3 linked regions of the Arabidopsis thaliana genome follow. The protein of the gene in region 1 interacts with the protein of each later gene in a pairwise test. Each region holds a gene or a part of one and is shown in the gene's direction. Other genes may lie near its edges.

Region 1 (7,324 bases):
ATGTTTGAAATTTAATTGTAGATGAAAGTGGAAACTCATATCTTTTTCTAAGTTATATGTAAACTTCAACATGGTAAGTTATATTACTTGCCCATATTTATATAACTTTGGTAAGGATAAACTATATATTATTACTAAAATATATGCCCCTAATCTTTTTCTAAAATCAGATGCCGTAGGCCACCGCTTCTTTTTCTCTCACGTTGACAGCTGTCGGCATAAATAGCTAGCCCTAGAACCCACATGATGTCGCCTATGACATAACGCAACGACCACGATATAAACATGTAGTATTTAAGAGTACGTCTTTGACATATTTATTGCTGTGGGATTTGCATCCCAGTAAGTGCAGCTATGCAAATGAAACCTGCTAATTGGAGAAAAACACTAGAAATCTTATCTCCATGAACTACTAGAAATTTATAAATTACATATTCCTTATGTTCTTAATAGTTTGATGTTATGGTTTTCTCTTGTTCCATGATATCGATGATTTGTAATAACATTATTTGTGACCAATAGAGAAAAGAAAAATGGAACTAATATTATTAAACTAACAAAATAATATTCTATCTGTATCAAAAATATTGATTTTATAGAGTTTTTGCATCAATTAAGAAAAACATTTAATGTTTAGTTATAAATGTACTATGCATTCATACTAAACCATTTCTCATAAGTCATAACTATTAACCAATAGTGATTCATCAAAATTTTAATTTCTCAATTAATGATTTTAAAATTTCACAATTTATTAACATTGATTGATAAATTTTACAGAAAATCAATCTTTTTCATACAAAATGAAAACCTCTGAAAATCATTTTTTATGATACAAGGAGTAATAAAAAATAAAAAATTATTTTTTATTAATTTGTGTAAAATCCAAAACATTATGTTTCTAAAAACAGAAGGAACACTAAGTTTGATCAAACAATTAGGAATTTGAGCTTTTGCTGAAAAAAAAAAGAAAAAAAAAAAGAAATTTGCTATAAAAATATATCTTGATTTTTTTTTTGTGCAAACATTATGCATATATGATCATATCGGAAACAAGATGTATCCCAACTATTGGCCACGCGGTTGTTGCGGACTTGAAGTTGTGCAGGCCCTGATGAAATCAATTATCAGCTGTGACTTTAGCTAAAGGTGTAAGTGGTCCTGGTGAAGGAAATCAATCGCTAGACAACTAAAAATGTATGGTACAGAGTAGATACTATATTAAATGTAATAATGTGAATATTAATTACGTGGTCCTTCTAATATATCAGAAGCATTTTACAATATTTTGCTTAAAAAACAATAATACAAAAAAAAATTGTTGATGGTTATTTTATGTATTCATCAGAATCTCGACAACAGAGAGCAACAACGCATTCGCAAACTTTTTATTCAAACTCAAAAACAAAATATATTATCTGGTTTCTACCCATTTAATTAAACATGTAATCATATATGAAAGTTATTTATATACTAATAGAGTGAGACCTCTATAAATTAATACTTAATATCATTACGGTTCTGGAACAACTCATGCCACTGTACTACACATATATCTTGCTCATTTTCACGTTAATTCCTCACTATTTCATTTTTCTTCATAAATATCATGGCTTCAATCCATACCCAAGAAAACCAAAAACCGAATTTCATCTAAACAGAAGAAGACTAAAAAACGAATATAATAATTAACCATCGTAGAAAGTTTGTAAAGTAATCATATAACATGAAAATTCAAAAAAAAAAATCAACTATTTTTTATTTGGAAATTTAATACCCAAATATTTTTAGTTTGAAGAAAATTTTATATATTAACTAAAAGATGTGAATTAATACCCAAAAATTTATGTGTTGTTATTTTTATATACACGAGTTTATAATAAATCAAAATTTTCCAACTTTACTCTTATCTCTTTAATTAATTATTTATTTTATTTTTAAAAAATATTTTGGTTCTCTTTTTACCGAATTAAACCGAAATCAAAACTGGTTATCACCACCACCGAGTTTTGTTCGTCGATGTGTTAACCAGCTTCTTGTTCGTAGAGAAGAATTTGCAAAGGTAAGAGTCGGTTAACATGGTGTTGGTGAAGAGGGAAGCTCTAGAAAGTTTATAAAGCCCAGATTGACAATTGGCGTGTTGGTTGTTGGATTGGGAAAGCTCATCGGGTTAACATGACAAGAACAAAATTTGGTGGTGGTAATAACCAGTTTTGATTTGGTTTAATCCGGTTAAAAGAGAACCAAAATAATTTTTTTAAATTAAAATAAATAATTAATTAAAAAGTTAAAGATAAAATTGAAATTTTTAATTATTCATAAAATCATGTATAAAAATAACAACATATAAAATTTTAGATATTAATTCTTGTATGTTTTAATTTGTATATGTATTTTTTCTGACTAAAAACATTTGGGTATTAAACTTCTAAATAAAAAATAGTTTGAATTTTTTTTAGAATTTTTCCTATAACATTAATCTTGTAGAATCCACAAAAATTTTGTAGAGCCCAGTGCCTTAGGAGTATCTTATGGTGGTAATGTCGACAACGTTTTTATTTGTTTTTGGTTTTGGAGGCTAAACCTATTTATTTCTTCAATTTCAAAATTTCGACAAGAGAACACATAAAAGAAACAGAGTCTTTTTATCCAAACACAGAAAAATTACAAACTAGAAAACAAACACACACAAAAACAAAACACAGAAACTACTCAAGAAACAGCGATTTGAACAGTCTTAGGTTTCGGCGGCTGTGGCGGTAGCTTCTTGATAACAACTGTCAAAACACCTTCTTGATATTTAGCCGTTACAGAAGCCATATCAGCATCTTCTGGTAACCGGAACTTCTTAACCAAATTCTGAGCAAGTCTCCTCTCGAGTCTAATATACTTAGACCCTTCTTCACTCTCATCATCATCTCTCTTCCTCTTCCCATTACTCTTTATCACTAAAGTCCTCTCTTCCTCCACTGTAACCTAATTTCCCACCAAAACCCCCAAATCATAAATTAAATTAAAAAAAAAACCCTAATTTCATAAACAATTCAACATTTCTATGGGATTATATCAATACCTGGATATCTGATTTTGAAATTCCGGGGATATCGAGATAAAATATGTATTCTTTGGGAGATTCCAAAATGTCTATTGGGATATTATTGCTACTTCCTCTTCCACGACTCTCGTTATTACTTTCGCCGGAACGAGAAATCGGGAGAATTAGCTTCTCGATCGCCTCCGGTAAGCCAAAAAAGTGGTTAATCGCAACAGCACTCATCTTCTCCGATCAATGACTGCCAGAAAACAAAACAGTTAAAAAAATCAACAATTCTGAAATTTTCCAGGAAAAGATCGATACAGAGAATAGGATCATTACCTGGGAATTAGGATAACCCTTTCCAATTGGATCTTCCTCTTCTTCGATTTGATAGTATGGGGTTTGAAATTTTCACTCCATTGATATATAGTGAGTAAACACCAGTGAGCTAGAAAGTTCCAGAGAAAATTTCTAGAAGTAACTAGTGAACTTGAGAGTTGTTTCAAAAGCTTCCACGTCATTAAATCTCCTTTTATTGGGCCTTATAAGTTATTTATAGGCCGTTTAGCACATTGGACTTGATTTATGTCTTTGTTCTATTTTGTATTTTTATTTCTTATATCTGTTTTTATTGGGCCTTGAAAGTTATTCCAGGCCTTAGCCCATTAGACTTGATTTATCTCGTTTTATTTTAGTTAGAGTTTTTGAGACTTGAGACAACCTACCTAACCATACTATAGACAAGAAAATAAAAATACTTTTGTATATTAGAGAAATTTTGAAATCCGTCAGTGTGTATATTCAATATTCCTAACGAAAAAATGGCCAAAGCATAAATACCTTATAGCGATATTTGAGTATTTACCATAAAACCATTCGAATACTGTCACGGTTCTAAATTTCTAATATTGTTCTTTTGTTATTAAAGGAAAGAGTGAAGGGTGTTTTCGTCATTTAACATATCCATCGGGTCAATAACGGAGATTACCTATCCGGTGACCTTATCCCCTCGCCGGTGAGCGAATCTCAGATCCAAAATTTTGCAAAATCCTCAGATCGTCTTACCTTCTCCGAATCGATCGATTTTTCATGGAGGACGACGACGAGATTCAGTCAATTCCATCTCCGGGAGATTCTTCCCTTTCACCACAAGCTCCTCCTTCTCCGCCGATTTTGCCAACAAACGACGTGACGGTGGCCGTCGTGAAGAAACCACAACCGGGGCTTTCTTCTCAATCTCCGTCCATGAACGCTTTAGCGTTAGTGGTTCATACTCCTTCTGTAACCGGTGGTGGTGGTAGCGGAAACAGAAACGGACGAGGAGGAGGAGGAGGAAGCGGTGGTGGTGGAGGAGGAAGAGATGATTGTTGGAGCGAAGAAGCTACAAAGGTTCTAATCGAAGCTTGGGGAGATCGATTCTCTGAACCAGGTAAAGGAACTTTGAAGCAACAACATTGGAAAGAAGTAGCTGAGATTGTGAACAAGAGTCGTCAATGCAAATACCCTAAAACTGATATTCAGTGTAAGAACAGAATTGATACGGTGAAGAAGAAGTATAAGCAAGAGAAAGCTAAGATTGCTTCTGGTGATGGACCTAGTAAATGGGTTTTCTTCAAGAAGCTTGAGAGTTTGATTGGTGGTACTACAACATTCATTGCTTCTTCAAAAGCTTCAGAGAAGGCTCCTATGGGAGGAGCTCTTGGGAATAGCCGTTCGAGTATGTTTAAACGGCAAACTAAAGGTAATCAGATTGTGCAGCAACAACAAGAGAAGAGAGGCTCTGATTCGATGCGGTGGCATTTTAGGAAACGTAGTGCTTCTGAGACTGAGTCTGAGTCTGATCCTGAACCTGAGGCTTCTCCTGAGGAATCTGCTGAGAGTCTCCCACCTTTGCAACCGATTCAACCGCTTTCGTTTCATATGCCAAAGCGGTTGAAGGTGGATAAGAGTGGAGGTGGAGGGAGTGGAGTTGGAGATGTGGCGAGGGCGATACTTGGATTTACGGAAGCTTATGAGAAGGCGGAAACTGCTAAGCTTAAGTTAATGGCGGAACTGGAAAAGGAGAGGATGAAATTTGCTAAAGAGATGGAGTTGCAGAGAATGCAGTTCTTGAAAACTCAATTGGAGATAACACAGAACAATCAAGAAGAGGAAGAGAGGAGCAGGCAGCGAGGAGAAAGGAGGATCGTTGATGATGATGATGATCGCAATGGCAAGAATAACGGCAATGTAAGTAGCTGACAATTGAACACACAAATGTTCCTATGATATTTGCTATGATAAGCTGGATTTTAGGTTTTGATGTTGTTGTTGTTGTTATTGTTACTGCCTTGTGGGATGTGTAAATGTAGAGAAGTTATGACTCTGATTATCATCATGTTGTTGTTATTGTTATCCATCTTCTTGTCTTAAACATGGGCAAATTAAAAAGCTTTGAACTTGAATAGCTTGTTGAAAACCTCTGTGATTCTTAAGTAGAGTTCTGAACTAGTAGTTTGTGATTCTAAGTTAAGACACAGCTTATAGAATATTCACCAATGAGATTAGAGACTAATGATTGGATTAGTCAGCATATTTATCCTTAAATTAAAATCTCCTTAATTAAGCCAAAGCTTATAATTAACCTCACTAAAAATATTCAATGCTTCTCTCTTCTCTTTCATCCTTACCTCTCTACTACCTCTATAAAACCATTTCCATTGCAAAGGAAAAAAAAAGAAGATAGAGACAGTAAAATAAAAACCCGAAATAATTTGAAAAAATATTGTTATATATTTTTGGATAAATTTTTGTTGATCGGATGGGGTTCCTACACAAGCTGTGGGATGAAACGGTGGCCGGACCGACGCCGGACAATGGTCTCGGGAAATTGAGAAAGCACGATTCATTATCCACCGTCCGATCTTCTCCTCCTTCTCTCTCAAGCGACCAAGTCACCAGAAGCATCATGGTTACCAAGGGGAATAACAATGTTCGTGGTCTCCGTAAATTGAAAATGGATCCGGATTCTCCAACCTGTTCAAGCAGCAACCCTGGGACACCTTTAACCCGTATATATTTCTCATCTTCCCTTTAAACTAAATTAACAATAACAAAATTAAGACTCACATTTGGGTCAAACACATTTTTATGCAGCTGGGACACCATGCTATGCTTTGGGACCATTCACTGCCGGCAAAATCCCTTCCTCTGGCGAAGACGATGCAGCAAGTCTAACTACTTATGAATGGTTATCATCTCTATCACTTCATTTCCTAATCAATTCTCTTTTTTGTTGTTGTGGGCAAACTCTTTATGTGTGTACTTATGATATGCTTTGTGTACGTATGCAGGATTGTGATAAACGCGTTGGACCGTTGAACAAGCCGAGAGAGAAAAATCTTACGGGGTTTTTGTGTAAATATAAATAACCTATGCATGTAATTATGTAAATATTTACTGATAAGGTCAGTATTAAATGTAATGTCTCTTGAATCAATGTACCCTATTACAGGGTCTTGAAAATATTATTTGAACCCTGCCAATTTCCTCTAATCGTTTAAATGTTGAAGCCTATATCAAGATTCTCTACTACATCCTATGAACGACAAAGGCAAATAAAAAAACCTTAATTATATACTTTGCTGCATGGCAAAGGACACTCGTGGACAGAACACTTGATGCTTAGTTAAACTGGATTTCCGACAAAATAAAGTACTAACATGAGAAATGAAACTATAAAACTTTTATAAAAGACAAATTACTTTGTTTCAAACCTATCATTACAGAACCACAAACAACATTAACCCCAGAAAACCAAATCCCCTTTTATTTGATGTTGTCTTATTGCTTGGCTTACAATCCAAGTAAGACCTATAGGTTACAAACTGAGCATAAAGCTCTGCATACATAAATAAAACCAACGGCTTTAAATGAAAGAGACACATACATAAAGACTCTTGAACAAGGAAGGTCTAGAAAAAGCAAGAAAGTTATAAAATTAAGAAGAAGAAAAAGAAAGAAACAGAAAAAGGTATCTCAGAGCCAGTGAAGAGGGTTTATTACTGATAGTACATGAGCTGCTGATGGGCCGCAGCTACATTCTGATAGCCACCATCATACATAGCTGCAGTTCCTCCAGCAACATTGACTCCAAGACCTGCTTGCCTCAGAGAATGTTGAGCCTGAGGATGCATCTTGGCTAGAGCCAGTTGCCTCTCGTAGGCTAAGAGGTCCATTGCAGACAGAGAAGGGACTGATGCCGGGGCTGGTGGGGGAAGTGGGTTTGAGGCTGTGCCTGATGGAGTT
Region 2 (9,134 bases), on another chromosome or scaffold:
AAAAGTGGTTTAACCTTTAAAGTAACTATCCAGATTTTGAACAATCCTAAAGTAAAATAGTAACAATCAGATATTTATATATGTACGTGTGAGATTTAATTAGTTTGCATATAATTTTAAATTTGTTTCTCCTAAGTAGGGGACCAAAGCTATTTGTTGTATATTCTATGAAACCAAAGCTAAATGCTCGGAGGGAGTGGACCACACATATTTCTTTTACATCTTTATCTTTTTTTGTGTTAAGAGGTTTAAAAAATAAAAATATCTGCACTGTTCAGATATAAATTTATGCAGCCGATATCTTAGACTTAGACCGAAAATATTAAATCTCAAAGTATAGAAAGAAAAAAACAAGAGTAATAAGTAACAAACACCAAAATTCCGTAGAAAAAACACACCAATAGAGTAAACTGAAATGGAAAATATCACAACTAGAGTAAACTGAAAGATAAGCAATTATGAAACATTATATACAACCCCTAATATAATAATTCATTAATTTATTCACATTAAGTTATTGGTTTCTATTTGAATATTAGAGTTATTTAATAGCTGTCAAAAAAAAATAGAGTTATTTAATAAACTTAAAAAAGTCAATATTATTTTTGATCGTATATTACAAAAATCATAACGGATGATAAGTTTAACACACTGTTCACTATAGAAGATAAAACATTTAAAACTTTTACTTCTAATAGAAAATTAAAATAAAGAAGGTTATAAAATGGAGAAGACAAAAATAAAAGGTACGGCTAAGTTTGGCGGTTTGGGAGAGTTGAAAAACAAAAGAAGATAGAGATGGTGGGACAATGAGAACAACACACAATTGCACGCCTCTCTCTATCTACTCTCTGAGCTCTCTACATTGCATCAAAATTTCGATTATTTGAGAGTCCCCATTTCAAAGTTAACCACCTTTTGCTTCTTTTATTACAATATAATGTTAAATCAGTAGTTTACGAACGCCTATGAAAATGATCAATTGTAGTCTTCAACATTACCAATCAAGATGACAATATAAATACACGGTGTGAAATACTGTAAATAAAAACATAAGAGAAATCATATACGACTAATTAAAAAAAAAATATATATGATTCGATGCCTTCGCTTATAATTTTTATAGAAAACAAAAAATTATTGTATTTTCTAATTTTTTTTTTTAACTTTATTTTCTTTACGAATGAAAGATGTGTTTTAATAAAGAACTTACATTATGGGGATAAATAATAATAGAAAAATAAAAATAATGAAAGCCTATATATATGTATCCCTCTAATGATGTGTATAATTAGGATTAGACATCTCATAACTCTCAACAAGTTGACTTGTTGACTTAGCTCTTCGTCAATGAGAGCGAACATGTTTGTTGGAACACATCATTAGTGGACAAATGAATGCAGATTAAAAGAAAAATTATAATCAAATTTTCTAGAAAAACATATGACAGATACTTTGAGAGATAATAGAGTTTTTGTTTGATTGAATATAACATATTGTGGTTTGTTTTCACGTGGTTTAGAAAAGAAACAAGAGTGGGCTTTTAAATTGGGCCCACAGAGTGGCAGAAGCAGGGCTGAGAGAGTAATGGGTCCTACAAAACGCCCATGATCCCAAAATTTCCAAAGAAAATGGAGACAATCTTCTGTGTTTATCCGAAAGCTACCCTCACGCTTTGGATTTTCTTCTTCTTTTTTTTTTCTCTCTCTTTTCTTTTTTAATACTACTTATTTTTCTATAAATTTGTATATCTAGCTATAAAGGTAATAGAAAATGGTAAGTTATTTTTTCCTTCCGGTACAAAAGATGAAAACATGCAATAGTCGGCAAAGGTCCACACTCCACACATTTGTCTGCACATCTATCCAATATTCATTCATAGGTTCAACCACAACTTTATCTACTACATATATATTTTTTATTTTATTGAACGAATTTATATTCGTTTTCCATTTCTGTCATATATCATAGTAGATGTTGATAGTTGGGTAATGGAGCAAGTGAAAGATTGATGGTTGGTAGACCATAGATTCATGCATTCATACCATAAGGTATACTGATGGTGATTGGGTAAATTTTTGAGTCAGCTATTACAATTGAAAAGTTCATCAAATGACAAAACTATTACAACTTAGATCTTTGACAGCCAAAAGAAAAAAAAAAAAAAAAGAGAAAAAAAAAACTAAATTGTTGTTAGAAATTAGAAGTCAGAAGTAAGAAGACTCCCATAGGAATACAGTTCTGGCAACCAATTTCTTAGTTCTTTATTGGGCATTCATATCTTAGTTGGGCCTGACTCATATATATTTTGAACTTTTTGTACGCAATTGTATCTAACACTATAGTCTTACATTGTTCATATATTTAATGTTTTATATTGATTGCTACCTATATATTTTGATATGATGTAGATCCAACTATTTCTAGGTTGAATTGTCTTTTCGAACAGATTTTGTTTCCGGATTCACCATAAAAAAAAAAAAAAACTTATGTGACAGAAAGTACTATAGAAAGAATCGTGTTTACAACAATAAAGAGACTTGACCCAAACAAAAAACGTTTACAACAATAAAGAGTTGAACAATAATACGGTACGATTGTGTATGTTGAATCATCTCCTCCACTTGGACGTGTCCATTTGACAACGGAAAAAAGTGTGGCCGTGTTATCTTTCTTTGTAACGTTTACAGTTTCAATTGTTTAGTTTGATCAAATAATTAACTTGTGAATTTTATGGATGCAATATCTTGAAAACTAGGAAATCATATCTGATCATCCTGCTATAAAAAAAATAATACATGCATTTTAATATTCATGGTTTCACATGAATACTTCGGTCATCCATTTTTCAATTACACGAGTGTAAATCTGTAATATCAATATTCATTTATAATTATAACGGGTTGTGATTTGTGAAATTGTGGGTATAGATAAAACTTCAAAACCTATTGAAATGAATATCTATATACTTGGAATAGTAGTAGACACATTTTGTAATGAGTAACTTAAGCACACCGGTTCTCACTCACACTCGTCTAATGGAGAAAAATGGTATATTATATACCTCATATAGGAACATGATCATATGATTTAGGAGTCATAAGCATGAGATTAACAAGATATTTTGGTCCACATTAGGAATCTACTAAAGGAACTATTTTCTTATAACCTAAAAATCTTGGTTTGGTAAAAAGAACAACCTTAGATTATTTGGTCTTTTATCGATTCATGTAATTGTGTATCAAATGATTAAAATCTAATGCATCCTACTCAAACACGTCATTTAAGAAACCCTATATAGTACAAACACGATCCAATCTCCAAATTAACCCATAGTATATCATAGACGAGCATAATATTTTTGGTCAAATATAAAATTAGATGCACTAGTTCCCTTTATTTAGGCAGATGGACTTTCTTCTAATCGAAAATAATTGTTCTCAATGAGCCGTCAAACTTTGTGAAATATGGATATAAATTCATGACATCTACATAATTTTTGGTTTAACATGTGAAATTGAACTTAGGATCTATTTCATTCGAATTCTTACCATATACTAACCAAATATAAATAATGTTTACTGCTAAATACTATTTATATAAGTTTGTTCTTCACTAAAGAAATTTGTTGATTAGTTTGTTTTTCTAATTGAGAATCTCTTATTTCAGGACCGATAAAAAGGAAGTGATTTCCGGTTTTCGATTCAATTATTTCGGTTTAAGTCGGTTTACAAATCATCCACCCTGTAAATCACGGAGCAACATCCATAATCCATACAGATCAAACCACGTGGACATGTTACAGTGTTCCTTATCACAGAAGATGAGTACTCCTGTCATCTTTCCCCTTTTCACTTTAACATAACACTCTGTACACTAGTCTGATCAAAAAACCTCAAAACACAGCAACCGCCATTTCTTTCCAAATTCCCCCAATTCCCATTCCAACTTTATCTTCTGAAGTAGAAGAAGAAGCCATAGAAATGCTTTGAAGTTTCTGTAAGTGTTCTTACTCACTCTAAAAACTTCAATTTTGGTCTTTGTGCTTTTTTCTAACAGATCGGTGAAATTTTCTGAATCTGCTTTTTGTTTTTCCAGGTAAAGAGAAAGATCTACAATTGTTTTGAATATGCCGAGGCAGAATCAAAGCGTAGAGAATCTACTTCTACTTGGCAAAATCAGGAAACGTGGTTGTTCTTCGCCGACATCGTCGACTTCTTCGATTCTCCGTGAAGGTTATAGATTCAAAAGAGCGATAGTTGTTGGTAAAAGAGGAGGATCCACTACTCCTGTACCTACATGGAGACTTATGGGTCGATCTCCTTCTCCACGAGCTTCCGGTGCTTTACACGCTGCTGCTTCTCCGTCGTCTCACTGCGGGAGCAAAACCGGTAAAGTATCAGCTCCTGCTCCTGTTTCAGCTAGGAAGTTAGCTGCGACGCTTTGGGAGATGAACGAGATGCCTTCACCTAGAGTTGTGGAGGAGGCTGCGCCAATGATTAGAAAGAGTAGAAAGGAGAGAATCGCGCCGCTTCCTCCGCCGAGATCATCGGTTCATTCTGGTTCTCTACCGCCTCATCTTTCTGATCCGTCGCATAGTCCAGTCTCTGAGGTAAAATGCTTTGGTTATGATTGGTTGAGAGGAAGAGAATGTGCTGTAATTCCAACTTCTTGCTGGCTGCCATGTGCTTTAATTCTGACCGATCAAAAGAGAGAGAGAAAAACAATAATATATATAGTATAGTATTGATTGATTCGGGGAAGTTATAAAGATCTCATCTTTAACTGATAAAATTGATAATCTTTGTGTGATTCTAAGGTCTGAATTTAGTCAAAGTTGTGATTTTTTTGGCAACCTCTATGAGTATTTTAATCATCAAGGGAGATTATTATTCGTATAAGCTTCTGGTTGATGTTAAGGAGTGGGATTAGAGAAGAATAGAAAACTGTTTTGATCTTAAGAATCTTTTGTCATGTGCTCTATAACGCACATTTATGTTTATATGAAAGGGCGTTTCTTTATAAGTTGGTGCCTATTATTCTTGCATAATTGGGCACTTCTACTAGTTTTTATTCTTTCTCATTCGTTGGTCATATGGAGGTAGCTGGTTGTTTTTTAGAGGTTGATTTATTGTGAATAATGTAGGCCTAGATTCTCTTATAATGGAGACCTAAGAAAAATTATATATAATGCTAAATCTGGCAATGGACAATGCGAAGAATTCTGCTTTCTTTACTTCTGTGTGTTAGGTAATTGGATAGCTGAGAAACTTGTTGATTTTTGTAGAGGATGGAAAGATCAGGGACTGGGAGTCGCCAGAGAAGAGCTTCATCAACTGTGCAAAAGCTTAGGCTTGGAGACTGCAATGTGGGGGCTAGGGATCCTATTAACAGTGGCAGCTTCATGGATGTAAGTTGATTTTTTTATTTTTTTTTCACTCTTGGGGATGTTTCTTTGAGCATTATGAGGAACCCTTTCTTCTAGCAGTTTTCATAATTTTCTCAAACCAAATTTGGTATTTGATTAAGGATGAAAGTAGTATATTATTGAGCATTATTGGCTCCAGAGGCTGTTGGTTTTTTTACTTTGGAAGCATACGTACACATAATCTATGGTTTGTTTTGTTATGCACAGAAACATTGCAAATAACGGTATAAGAAACTAGGAGACACTCAATCCGTTATGATTAGTTAATTTGCCTCCATCATCTATAAATCAATATGTGTGCAAGAGAGTGATGTTCAAAAATATTTGAAATGTGTTTTTCCAATGCAGATTGAGACTCGATCACGGGTGGAGACACCGACTGGGTCAACTGTGGGTGTCAAAACACGGTTGAAGGATTGTAGTAACGCTCTCACAACATCAAAAGAGCTTCTCAAAATCATTAACAGAATGTGGGGTCAAGACGACCGCCCATCTTCTAGCATGTCCCTCGTCTCTGCTTTACATTCTGAGCTCGAAAGAGCTCGCTTACAGGTCAATCAGTTAATCCACGAACATAAACCGGAAAACAACGACATTAGCTACTTGATGAAGCGTTTTGCCGAAGAGAAAGCTGTGTGGAAAAGCAACGAGCAAGAAGTTGTTGAGGCTGCAATCGAATCTGTTGCTGGTGAGCTAGAAGTGGAGAGGAAGCTGAGGAGACGGTTTGAGAGCTTGAACAAGAAATTGGGCAAAGAATTGGCTGAAACAAAATCAGCTCTGATGAAAGCAGTTAAAGAAATCGAGAACGAGAAGCGAGCGAGAGTGATGGTTGAGAAAGTTTGTGATGAACTAGCAAGAGACATAAGCGAAGACAAAGCCGAAGTTGAAGAACTGAAGAGAGAATCTTTTAAAGTCAAAGAAGAAGTCGAAAAGGAAAGAGAGATGTTGCAGTTAGCAGATGCATTGCGGGAAGAGAGAGTACAGATGAAACTATCGGAGGCTAAACACCAGCTCGAGGAGAAAAACGCAGCTGTTGATAAGCTAAGAAACCAGCTTCAAACTTACCTCAAAGCAAAAAGATGTAAAGAGAAGACCCGTGAACCACCTCAAACTCAGCTACATAACGAAGAGGCTGGAGATTATTTAAACCATCACATCAGTTTTGGATCATATAACATCGAAGATGGAGAAGTCGAGAATGGAAATGAAGAAGGTTCAGGCGAAAGCGACCTTCATTCCATAGAACTGAACATAGACAACAAGAGCTATAAATGGCCTTATGGTGAAGAGAACAGAGGAAGAAAATCAACGCCAAGGAAAAGCCTTTCTTTACAAAGAAGCATATCGGATTGTGTTGATTGGGTTGTACAGAGCGAGAAGCTTCAAAAAAGTGGAGATGGAGGGTTGGATTGGGGAAGATCTATTGACGTTGAGCCTAAAGGGTATATAGATGAAACACAAGCTTATAAACCAAACAAGGCTTCTTCAAAAGATCACCATATCCTCTCGGGTTCGAGACTAAGTAACTTCCGCGGTGGATCTGTTTCAAAGTCGCGGTTATCGGATGCTTCGAAAGGCGAGAACCAGAATGCCAGAAAATCAAGATGGTAATATGATCAAGAAATTTTATTCACATTTTCAGCGCAGAGATAACAGAATCTAAAGACTTTACATCTACATTTTTTCTCTGTTCGCTCGTTTTGTCAAGAGTGATTCTCTCATCTGTAAGTGACATAAAACATGAATTTGAACTGGTAATGATCCAAACATGTAAGAGCATGAATTTACACGAAATCGTCTTTTGATTTATATCATTTAAGAGTTAGAACGCCTACAAGATCGAAAAAAAGACACTAATCGTCGAGCCATTTCCTGATTCGATCCTTGACGAAATCATTACGAGCTTTGACGCGAGCTTGTTGCGGTGAGATGTTGGCGAGTGAGAGATACGCTCCGGCGACGAAGAGAGAAACGCCCGCCGCGAAAAAACCCACCGACACTACTAACTGCCGCCGTGTCGGCGGATACGACATAAAAAACACCATCTTATCGTTTACCGCCGTCTGTTGCAAAAGCTGTTTAATACTAACTGTTAATGGGCCGGGGTTTTTTATTTTATTTTGGGCTTTATTTTTAATCTCCAATTTCTCAACAAATTAAAAAAAAAGAGTATTAAAAAAAAGGAATGAAGATTAAACCGAGAAGGCGAGAACTTTTTTTTTTTTTGTTATTGGTTATTTAATATTATAAACAATGGTTTAATGGATTATTTTCGAATTTAGATCCATACAAAATTTGAAAAGAGCCCAATCAACTATACCAAACCGAACCAAGCTCTTAAATCAAAATCGACCCGAGCTAATAAACTGACTAAACCGATCTACTATGAAGCCCTAATCTTCAATCGGAAAATCCAAAAAAGCCGCCGGCCAACAGATCTGCGAATATTCTTCGGAATAGGACTTCCGACGAGTCTGGACAATGCGAGCCGAACGGAGATGGTAACACAGATTTCGTCGCCATCCCACGACTGTAGAGCAATATATGATTGATTGTTGATTTTTATGGTCTGTGTGTGGGTTTGTTGATCTAAATCTTATTGTATTGTAAGATCAAAAGCCAAGAAACGAAAGATCCGGAGTAAGCTCAACATCATAGCAAAAATGTTGCTCGTGAGGAGGACTAAGATTTGGCTTTGAGCTTTGATTCTACGACGTTTTACTCGCTATGAATCTAAACATTTTGTAAGTAAAGCGTGAAGCTTATGTCGAAATCATATTATAGCTACTAAAATAAGTAGAATGTCTAATCTCTTAGATCAACAATATAATATTAATAGGCTACATCTTTATAAAAATTAAGGCTAGTATTTACTTAAAATTAGTGTTTAAGGATATTTTTTTTAAAAAAAAAATCATAACATTAACATTTATGAAAATTATTTTTGATTTTCATGATATTAACTCACAAAATCTCATTTTCAATGAGAATATTTGAAAAATGGTAAAAAAAACTCTTGTCTTTAAAAGAAAAATATGTATTCAAGGCAACAATTTAAATTTTTGCCTTAAACCGCTTTTGACCTTCGCACATTATGTTTCATAGATAAAAAGAGTTATGGAAAAAACTTTAGATCTTAACCTAAAATGCATGAATTATAGTTAAGGTTGGTTCGATATTGATAACATTATGATATTGCACATATATTAATGTGATTCATGTGCCTGAAAGATCTGAAGGTCTTGTCAAACGAAGTAAATTTAATTTTTGTTTTAAGAGATCTGAGATCAAAAAAATTACTGAGTAGCTATATCAATTAAAATCTATTGTTAGTTTTCAGAAATAGAGACCGAAAAAGAACTACTGTTCTAAATTAATAGTGTTAGACATTGGACATAAAATGTACAATCTTGCATAAAACTGGTTTGATTTGATTTTTTAATGTCGTAGTTGTTATAATATTACATTAGTATATGTATAAAGCAAAATCTTCAGTCCTCTAATCTTCCCTCTAGTTTTCATTTTCTGTTCTTAGAAGCATTTTCCTTCACTATAACATTAAAGTTTTTCCTAATCTTGCTTCTCTTAGCATTTGTAATAGTGGTTTTTACAAAACGATAGGATTAACAAAGACAAATTCTTAAAACTAATTCGGTTAATTGCTCTACTCGACTTGAGAATCATTCATATTCTCTGTGACAATAAT
Region 3 (6,958 bases), on another chromosome or scaffold:
ACCACGCTTAGGCGTACTACTGTGGCATTTACTATGGTGATTGAGTACATGCTCACAGGTCAGAGATATACACGGTCTATCATTGGAAGGTAAATCACTTTTTTTTTCTTTCTTCCATACTGTAGTTTCTGTTCGTGCAAAATTGATATCTTTTCACTGTTGAATTTGATAATTTCCTGAAGTATTCAGATTCTGGGTTTAATAGTATCTCTTAGGAAGAAATAACTCCTTATGTTTGATCAAAATAGACAAGAATTAGGATTTAGGAGTTTGCGAGAGATAATTGTAGCTCTACGTTTATTCTGTATGTTACATGCCCCAGAGGCTTATGTGGTATGGTGCTTTAAGTCCCTCCATGAAAAAGTATGCACATGTTATTACCTCTAAAAGGAGAATCATGCTCCTTGACTCTTACATGCACAACTAAACTCTTGTAAAATTGATGTCAGTGTTGGTATTATCTTGCTTGGCGCATTTTTTGCTGGAGCTAGGGACTTGTCATTTGACTTTTATGGATATGGTGTTGTTTTCTTAGCCAACATATCAACAGCAGTATATCTAGCAACCATTGCCCGTACTGGTACACTAGTTACTCGCTCTCTGAATAAATTGTTTTACTACATGTCCTCCTGCCAGAGTGAAATCTCTCTTACCCAATTCTAATGTCTGGTTCTCCAGGTAAATCAAGTGGCTTGAATAGCTTTGGCCTTATGTGGTCCAATGGTAATATAAACTAAACAGATAACTAAATTGACCCTAAACACTCAAGACTTGCTTTGAATTTGTGAGATTTTCAATGATAGGAATTATATGCGGACCTATATTGATGATTTGGACATTTATTTGCGGTGACTTGGAGAAGACAATTAACTTTCCTCACCTCTTAACTCCTGGTTTCATGGTACCGTAAATCATTATTTGCCTTATATCTGTCCACTTTGCGTTTGTGATACTGATGATCTCTTTTTCTGTTATGTTCTCACCCAGGTTGTATTACTCTGCTCGTGCGTGCTGGCTTTCGTCTTAAACTACTGCATTTTCCTTAACACCACTCTCAATTCAGCTTTGACGCAGACAATTTGTGGCAATATGAAGGTTGGTTTCACTTTATTAGTATCTCCTGTACAAAAGAAAAATGTGAAACTAATCTGCCAAGGAGAGACTTTGAACATTATATCATCGTTGCAGGATCTATTCACGGTTGGACTAGGCTGGATGCTCTTTGGAGGACTCCCATTCGACCTGGTAATTTTCTTCAACATTCCTATTATTCCATTGAACCTAAAATCGGCATCTACGTTTGCTACATCTCACTACCTTTCTTTTTTGGTTCATTTACACAGATGAATGTGATTGGACAGCTTTTTGGTTTCTTCGGGTCAGGTTTATATGCATATTATAAGATCATCGGGAGGTAACAAGTCCAAAACAAAGAAAAGCCAAAGAAAACATGAGTGGCCTAGTGATGATAAAGGCTCATTAGTTTAAGGAAAAGTTGTTGACTAGTAGTGTTCAAGTGGAGATAGAGTGTTGAGCTTTTGGTTTTGGAGGTGACTTTAGAGTAGTATTAATAATGAAAGGCCTAATTTTTTGAACTTGCGTCTTGTTCTTCTTCAGTTTTCAACAAGGCGAAAGATTAGACTATGGACAAAACTGATTTTCTATTTTTTTGAGATCTACTGACTCTAATTTATACAACTGCTTCTTTTCATTGTATATATGTAGTATTATTATACACACTTGAGAAAAGGATGACTGTAATTATACAACTGCTTCTTTTAAAGCGTTCAATGATGATTTGGTACTAGGCATTCTTGCAAAGAGCTCGGTGAAAGCAAAAATAATTACTTCAACGGTTAAAATTGCAAGTACTAGAAAAGAAAAAAAGAGCACACCCAGTGGGACTCGAACCCACAATCGCTTGATTAGAAGTCAAGCGCCTTATCCATTAGGCCATGGGTGCTTGTTGCTACATCCTTCTGAGTTGTTTTATATATCATATAATTGTATTTGTAATCGTGTTCCATACCTTCTTCAAAAGCAAAACATTCTCTCGCCGGTAAAAAAGCAGAGATCCCTTAACCATGATTTCCTTCAAAGTATATTCCCCTTCCTCATCCTCTTCCCATGCTCATGGTATCAATCTTCCACTCTGACCCAACTCAAGCTCTGATTTCTCCTACTCCGTCGCCAAAAATCTTGGAAGTAGATGTCTTAGCCCGGGAAAATCAAATTTTCTCAATAATCAATCTATGGACGTTCCACCACGCCGCTCTTTGGCTGCGTCTCTCTCGCCTCTCCGGCTAATCGATGGACTCCCTCGTCGGAGGAGTTTCAATTATAATCAGATGCCTGAAGAGCCCATCAAACTCACTGTTCTCAAGCTTGATGGATCTTCCTTTGGTACCCATTACTCATCTCCTACTTGCTTTTACCATTAAATTTTATATGTTAACTAAGAATGTTTGCTCAAAAGAACTAAAAGTTATTGCTTTACAACGAATTCTAGTTTTTTCTGTGTTGTTTCGTTTGAGGTTGTCCAGAGAAATTTGACTGGTTTCTGAATTTGTGATTTAGTACAATTCCCTTTAAGCGTAATTTGGATTTGTAGGTATTCAAGTGTTGAAGACAGCGACAGTAGGGGAGCTCAAGATGGCAGTAGAAGCTGCGTTTTCTCACTTGCCCATCTCAGGCCCTGGCAAGATCTCATGGTACCATCTCTGATTCTTTGACTTGAGTTATTCTTATAATGATTCCGATTTTGTGTCTATATTAGGATAAGTAACTGCTAAATGATTCTTGATGATCCTATTTTTACCCTGTGATTATAAAGGCCGCATGTTTGGGGACAATTCTGCTTATCTTATGAAGATAAAAGATTGATTAATGAGTCTGAGTACCTCACTGAATTTGGCATTAAAGACGGCGATCAGGTTACCCTTTTACTCTTTCTTTATCACTTGAATACATCAAAGAGTCTATGCTTATGATATTATTTCATCTTTACATGTGATGTCGTAGAACGATGCATTTGGGTAGCTAGAGTCTCTAACCTGGATTATGTAGATTGTTATAGTCCAGTTTAGTTTTGACAACATAGTGCTTTGTTTTGATGCTCTATAATGTGTTTTATCTGCCATCATTCAGCTTCGGTTCATCCGCCATATCTCAAACTACTGCATGTTAATGGTGAAGCATAAGAGCAAGACACCCCGTGTTTCTTCTTTCAAACAACTCAAACTGTAAGAACTTTTGGTGTTAAAATGTTTTTAGCATTTCATTATCCGGAATCTCCATAGTAATACATGTTTTTGGACCAATCAGGTTCTCAACCACACCGGAAACCCGGAAAAAGAACGTAATAAGGGAAGTTGAAGAAGACGGTGTTGTTGACTCCATCCCTCGGAGCCAACCAAGCTTTCTAGCAACTGTATTGGGAGGTTTGCTCTCTTACAAGTCGACGCCAAGTCAACGAGGTACTAAATACAGAAACGTGACTGCAAGTAGAGTTTTTAACAAACTCATTGCAAGGTTTCGTTTCAAGTGTAATTCCGAGAAGGATGTGTGGAACAGAAAAAAACTCATATCCGAAACCTAAAAAAAAGCACTCCTTTTCTATCATTTGATTCTTGTAGAGATTTTGATTTCCTAATCTTGGTGTTTATATACAAACTTGGATGTTGTGTGTGTGCAAAATGAATAAGGCATTGTGTATTTACGTTTGTAGTGGATATAATTGCAACCTTACCGTCTTAGCCATTTTAACCTTATCTGGTACAGCGTTCGCGTTTGCGTTTGCGTTTGCGTTTGTGTTTGCGTTTGTGGCCAAAACGCAATCATTTACTTTTTAATTGATTTTCCGCTCCATTGATTTTAATCTGACGACCACAGCCTTTAGCTTATTTGTGTGGCGAAGAGAAGAGATAACATTCCTAAGCAAATCTCTTCTCTCTCCCATTCGTCTCCAAAGAGATTACAGTTTTGAGCATTTCTCATCTCTCGAAGCTCTTCTCTGTGTGTGTGGCGATGGCTGCTAATTCGATAATGGCTTCCTCCAAACCCCTAATCTCCCTGTCATCCAACCAACAACCAAACCGAGTCCAAATTCCCAAATTCGCCAAACTTCCCCAAATTCCCAAATCCCTCACTTCCTCCACCGATCTCCGTAGCAAAGCACTATCACTCTCCTCCGCCACCGCCAAATCCTTAGCTTTAATCGCCGCTTTCGCTCCTCCGTCGATGGCGGAGGCGATGGAGAAAGCACAGCTCTTCGATTTCAATCTCACGCTTCCGATCATCGTTGTTGAGTTTCTCTTCTTGATGTTCGCTCTCGACAAGGTCTATTACTCTCCGCTTGGTAACTTCATGGATCAAAGAGACGCTTCCATCAAAGAGAAGCTCGCGAGTGTTAAGGACACTTCGACTGAAGTAAAGGAGCTCGATGAGCAAGCCGCCGCCGTGATGAGAGCAGCTAGGGCTGAGATCGCCGCCGCGCTTAACAAGATGAAGAAGGAGACTCAGGTATAAAAGAAACAACAATGCACTCAGAGTGAAGAAATTGGTAAATGGATTGTGTATTTTTTTTGCAGGTTGAAGTCGAGGAGAAGCTAGCGGAGGGAAGGAAGAAGGTGGAGGAAGAGCTAAAAGAAGCTTTGGCGAGCTTGGAGAGTCAGAAAGAAGAAACCATTAAAGCTTTGGATTCTCAGATTGCTGCTCTTAGTGAAGACATTGTCAAGAAGGTTCTTCCTTCTTAAATTATATTTTTGTTAACTGTGTAATTCTCTGTCTCTCTATCTCAAAACTTATTTACAAGAAATTACTGTAAATCTCTTCTTCTTCTTCTTCTCTGTTTCTTGGATTGTTCGTCGTTCAAAGAAGAACAATTTTTATTTTGTAAGTTTATAAATAATTAGCTCTCTTCTGTCATTTTAGATGATTAAAGTACAAGTATGTATATCGAGGAATTAGTTGTTACGGATAAAATCTTCATGCGAGTCTTATCGTCACTAGATTTATGTCTATTTGAATCGATTGAACAAAAACGCAAATGGCAGGAGTTGCTTGTGTAAAGAGTAGAGAGAAATTGAGTTTTCAGAGCCAAACACTCCAGCTTTGTCCGAAAGTGTTCATAGAAAGTTAAGTTGACTCTTCCATAACGAGCTCAGGTCCAACAACGAAGCCCAAACCTCAGTTACTCTATCTTATTATTGGGCCCTAAAACGAAATGGGCCCTAAAGCTAACGCGGGTCGGTGTTTGATTAAAACAAATGACGGGGCCTCCACGCCTTGTTCCTTCTTCTTCTTCTTCTCACGCTCACGGTTCTCTTTCTCTTCTCTGTCTTTTTCAGCTTCTGAAGTTACTTGTTTCAGTTCCCGATGATCAATTCTTAGTTTTTTTGGCTTGTTTTCTTCGTCTCTCTTTCATCAGGCCTTTGGAGTTTTGTGTTACCATTTTCGCTCGCGTCATTACTGGTGTTAGGGTTTTCTTCAAAAGCTTCTTAATCCGTCGAAATTGCTCTTTTCTCTCCCTCATTGTCGGTTACTTTCTTTGACCCTTCTCTTATGCTTCGTAAGCTGTGATTTTTTTCTCTGGTTTCATTGCAACTCTAGTTCAATTTCAGTTTGATTTCTTCGCTTAAATATTTTGTTCTATGAGATCTGAGAGTTGTCTTTATTGTTGGCTTATTTCAATCAAAACATTGGCTGGTTAACTTTGATTGACTCATGATTGATTCTATCTAGCATTAATTGGTTTTCTTTGTATTTGGTTACTGTTACTTGTTCTTCTACTTCTCCACGATTCTACTTCTCCACGATACTGTCTCTGTCCCTTGTTCGTATCGCTAACTTATTCCCATAGTGGGCACGTCTCTGGTTTCTGACTTTTCTCTTCAATTCCATGTATTGCGTTTTACCATGATGTTTAGTTTCGGAATCATTTCTTGCTTTCTCTATCTGCTTGTAAGAATAGTTAACAAGTGAGAGGAAAGTCCTTTTTGTTGCTTAAATAGTTTGATTTCTGTTGTTGAGTTTATGCGATATCCCAACTGGTGAAACTGTGTTTATTGGTTCAGACAGAGATAAATGGCTTCAAAGATTATTGCTGGCAAGCCGGATGATACCGAGTATGAAATCATTGAAGGTGAGTCTGAGAGCGCTTTAGCAGCGGGGACAAGCCCTTGGATGAATTCATCAACGTTGAAGCTTCGACATCGAATTGGAAGAGGTCCCTTCGGTGATGTTTGGCTGGCTACTCATCATCAGTCAACTGAGGACTATGATGAGCATCATGAAGTGGCCATCAAAATGCTTTATCCCATCAAGGAAGATCAAAGAAGGGTTGTGGTAGATAAGTTTGAAGATCTCTTCTCTAAATGTCAAGGACTAGAGAATGTCTGTCTGCTCAGGGGAGTCTCTAGTATCAATGGAAAGGTAAGTGAAACAAACATGTGTGTTTCTCTAGTTTCACCGTATTTTCAATTTTTGTTTAATAGCTGATTTGTATCGTGTAGATATGTGTCGTCATGAAATTCTACGAGGGCTCTCTTGGTGACAAGATGGCTCGGCTTAAAGGAGGAAAGCTTTCACTGCCAGATGTTTTGAGGTAATTCTTCATTACACAAGTAAGAAGCTCATTGTAGTAGCGTCTTCTTCATTGTAATATAGAATACTAATGTCTTTCTTATTTATGTGAACCTCGTTTTACAGATACGGGGTTGATCTGGCTACAGGGATCCTGGAGTTGCACTCAAAAGGGTTTCTCATTCTCAATCTCAAGCCCTCTAACTTTCTTCTCAGTGATAACGACAAGGCCATCCTCGGGGATGTTGGGATCCCTTATCTCCTTCTTAGTATCCCTTTACCAAGTTCTGATATGACAGAGAGACTTGGAACTCCAAACTATATGGCACCAGAACAGTGGCAACCGGATGTCAGAGGTCCCATGTCCTTTGAGACT

The links.
Region 2: the proteins of ASIL1 (region 1) and AT3G11590 interact in a two-hybrid assay, tested with the Arabidopsis thaliana proteins (one large-scale study listed by BioGRID).
Region 3: the proteins of ASIL1 (region 1) and PDE334 interact in a two-hybrid assay, tested with the Arabidopsis thaliana proteins (one large-scale study listed by BioGRID).

What each region holds. Positions count from the first base shown.
Region 1 is NC_003070.9:20,176,846-20,184,169, forward strand, and holds ASIL1 (6B-interacting protein 1-like 1), read left to right. Parts: upstream 1-3,764; 5' UTR 3,765-4,126; coding exon 4,127-5,278; 3' UTR 5,279-5,529; downstream 5,530-7,324. Other genes in the region: AT1G54050 (HSP20-like chaperones superfamily protein), read right to left, coding at 2,713-2,976, 3,074-3,277; AT1G54070 (Dormancy/auxin associated family protein), read left to right, coding at 5,838-6,087, 6,173-6,266, 6,370-6,397; UBP1A (oligouridylate-binding protein 1A), read right to left, coding at 7,078-7,324. UniProt on the Arabidopsis thaliana protein: Transcription repressor that binds specific DNA sequence such as the GT-box-like motif 5'-CGTGATT-3' in the AT2S3 promoter. Negative regulator of seed maturation genes during seed germination and seedling development.
Region 2 is NC_003074.8:3,656,499-3,665,632, forward strand, and holds AT3G11590 (golgin family A protein), read left to right. Parts: upstream 1-3,799; 5' UTR 3,800-3,999; intron 4,000-4,098; 5' UTR 4,099-4,129; coding exon 4,130-4,612; intron 4,613-4,665; exon of another isoform or gene 4,666-5,287; coding exon 5,288-5,410; intron 5,411-5,776; coding exon 5,777-7,039; 3' UTR 7,040-7,236; downstream 7,237-9,134. Other genes in the region: AT3G11591 (bric-a-brac protein), read right to left, coding at 7,282-7,473.
Region 3 is NC_003075.7:15,571,655-15,578,612, reverse strand, and holds PDE334 (ATPase, F0 complex, subunit B/B', bacterial/chloroplast), read left to right. Parts: upstream 1-3,875; 5' UTR 3,876-4,026; coding exon 4,027-4,521; intron 4,522-4,589; coding exon 4,590-4,754; 3' UTR 4,755-5,060; downstream 5,061-6,958. Other genes in the region: AT4G32272 (Nucleotide/sugar transporter family protein), read left to right, coding at 1-89, 450-580, 679-723, 804-901, 988-1,095, 1,189-1,245, 1,344-1,418; AT4G32270 (Ubiquitin-like superfamily protein), read left to right, coding at 2,253-2,403, 2,612-2,711, 2,834-2,933, 3,148-3,242, 3,325-3,598; AT4G32250 (Protein kinase superfamily protein), read left to right, coding at 6,085-6,432, 6,513-6,604, 6,709-6,958.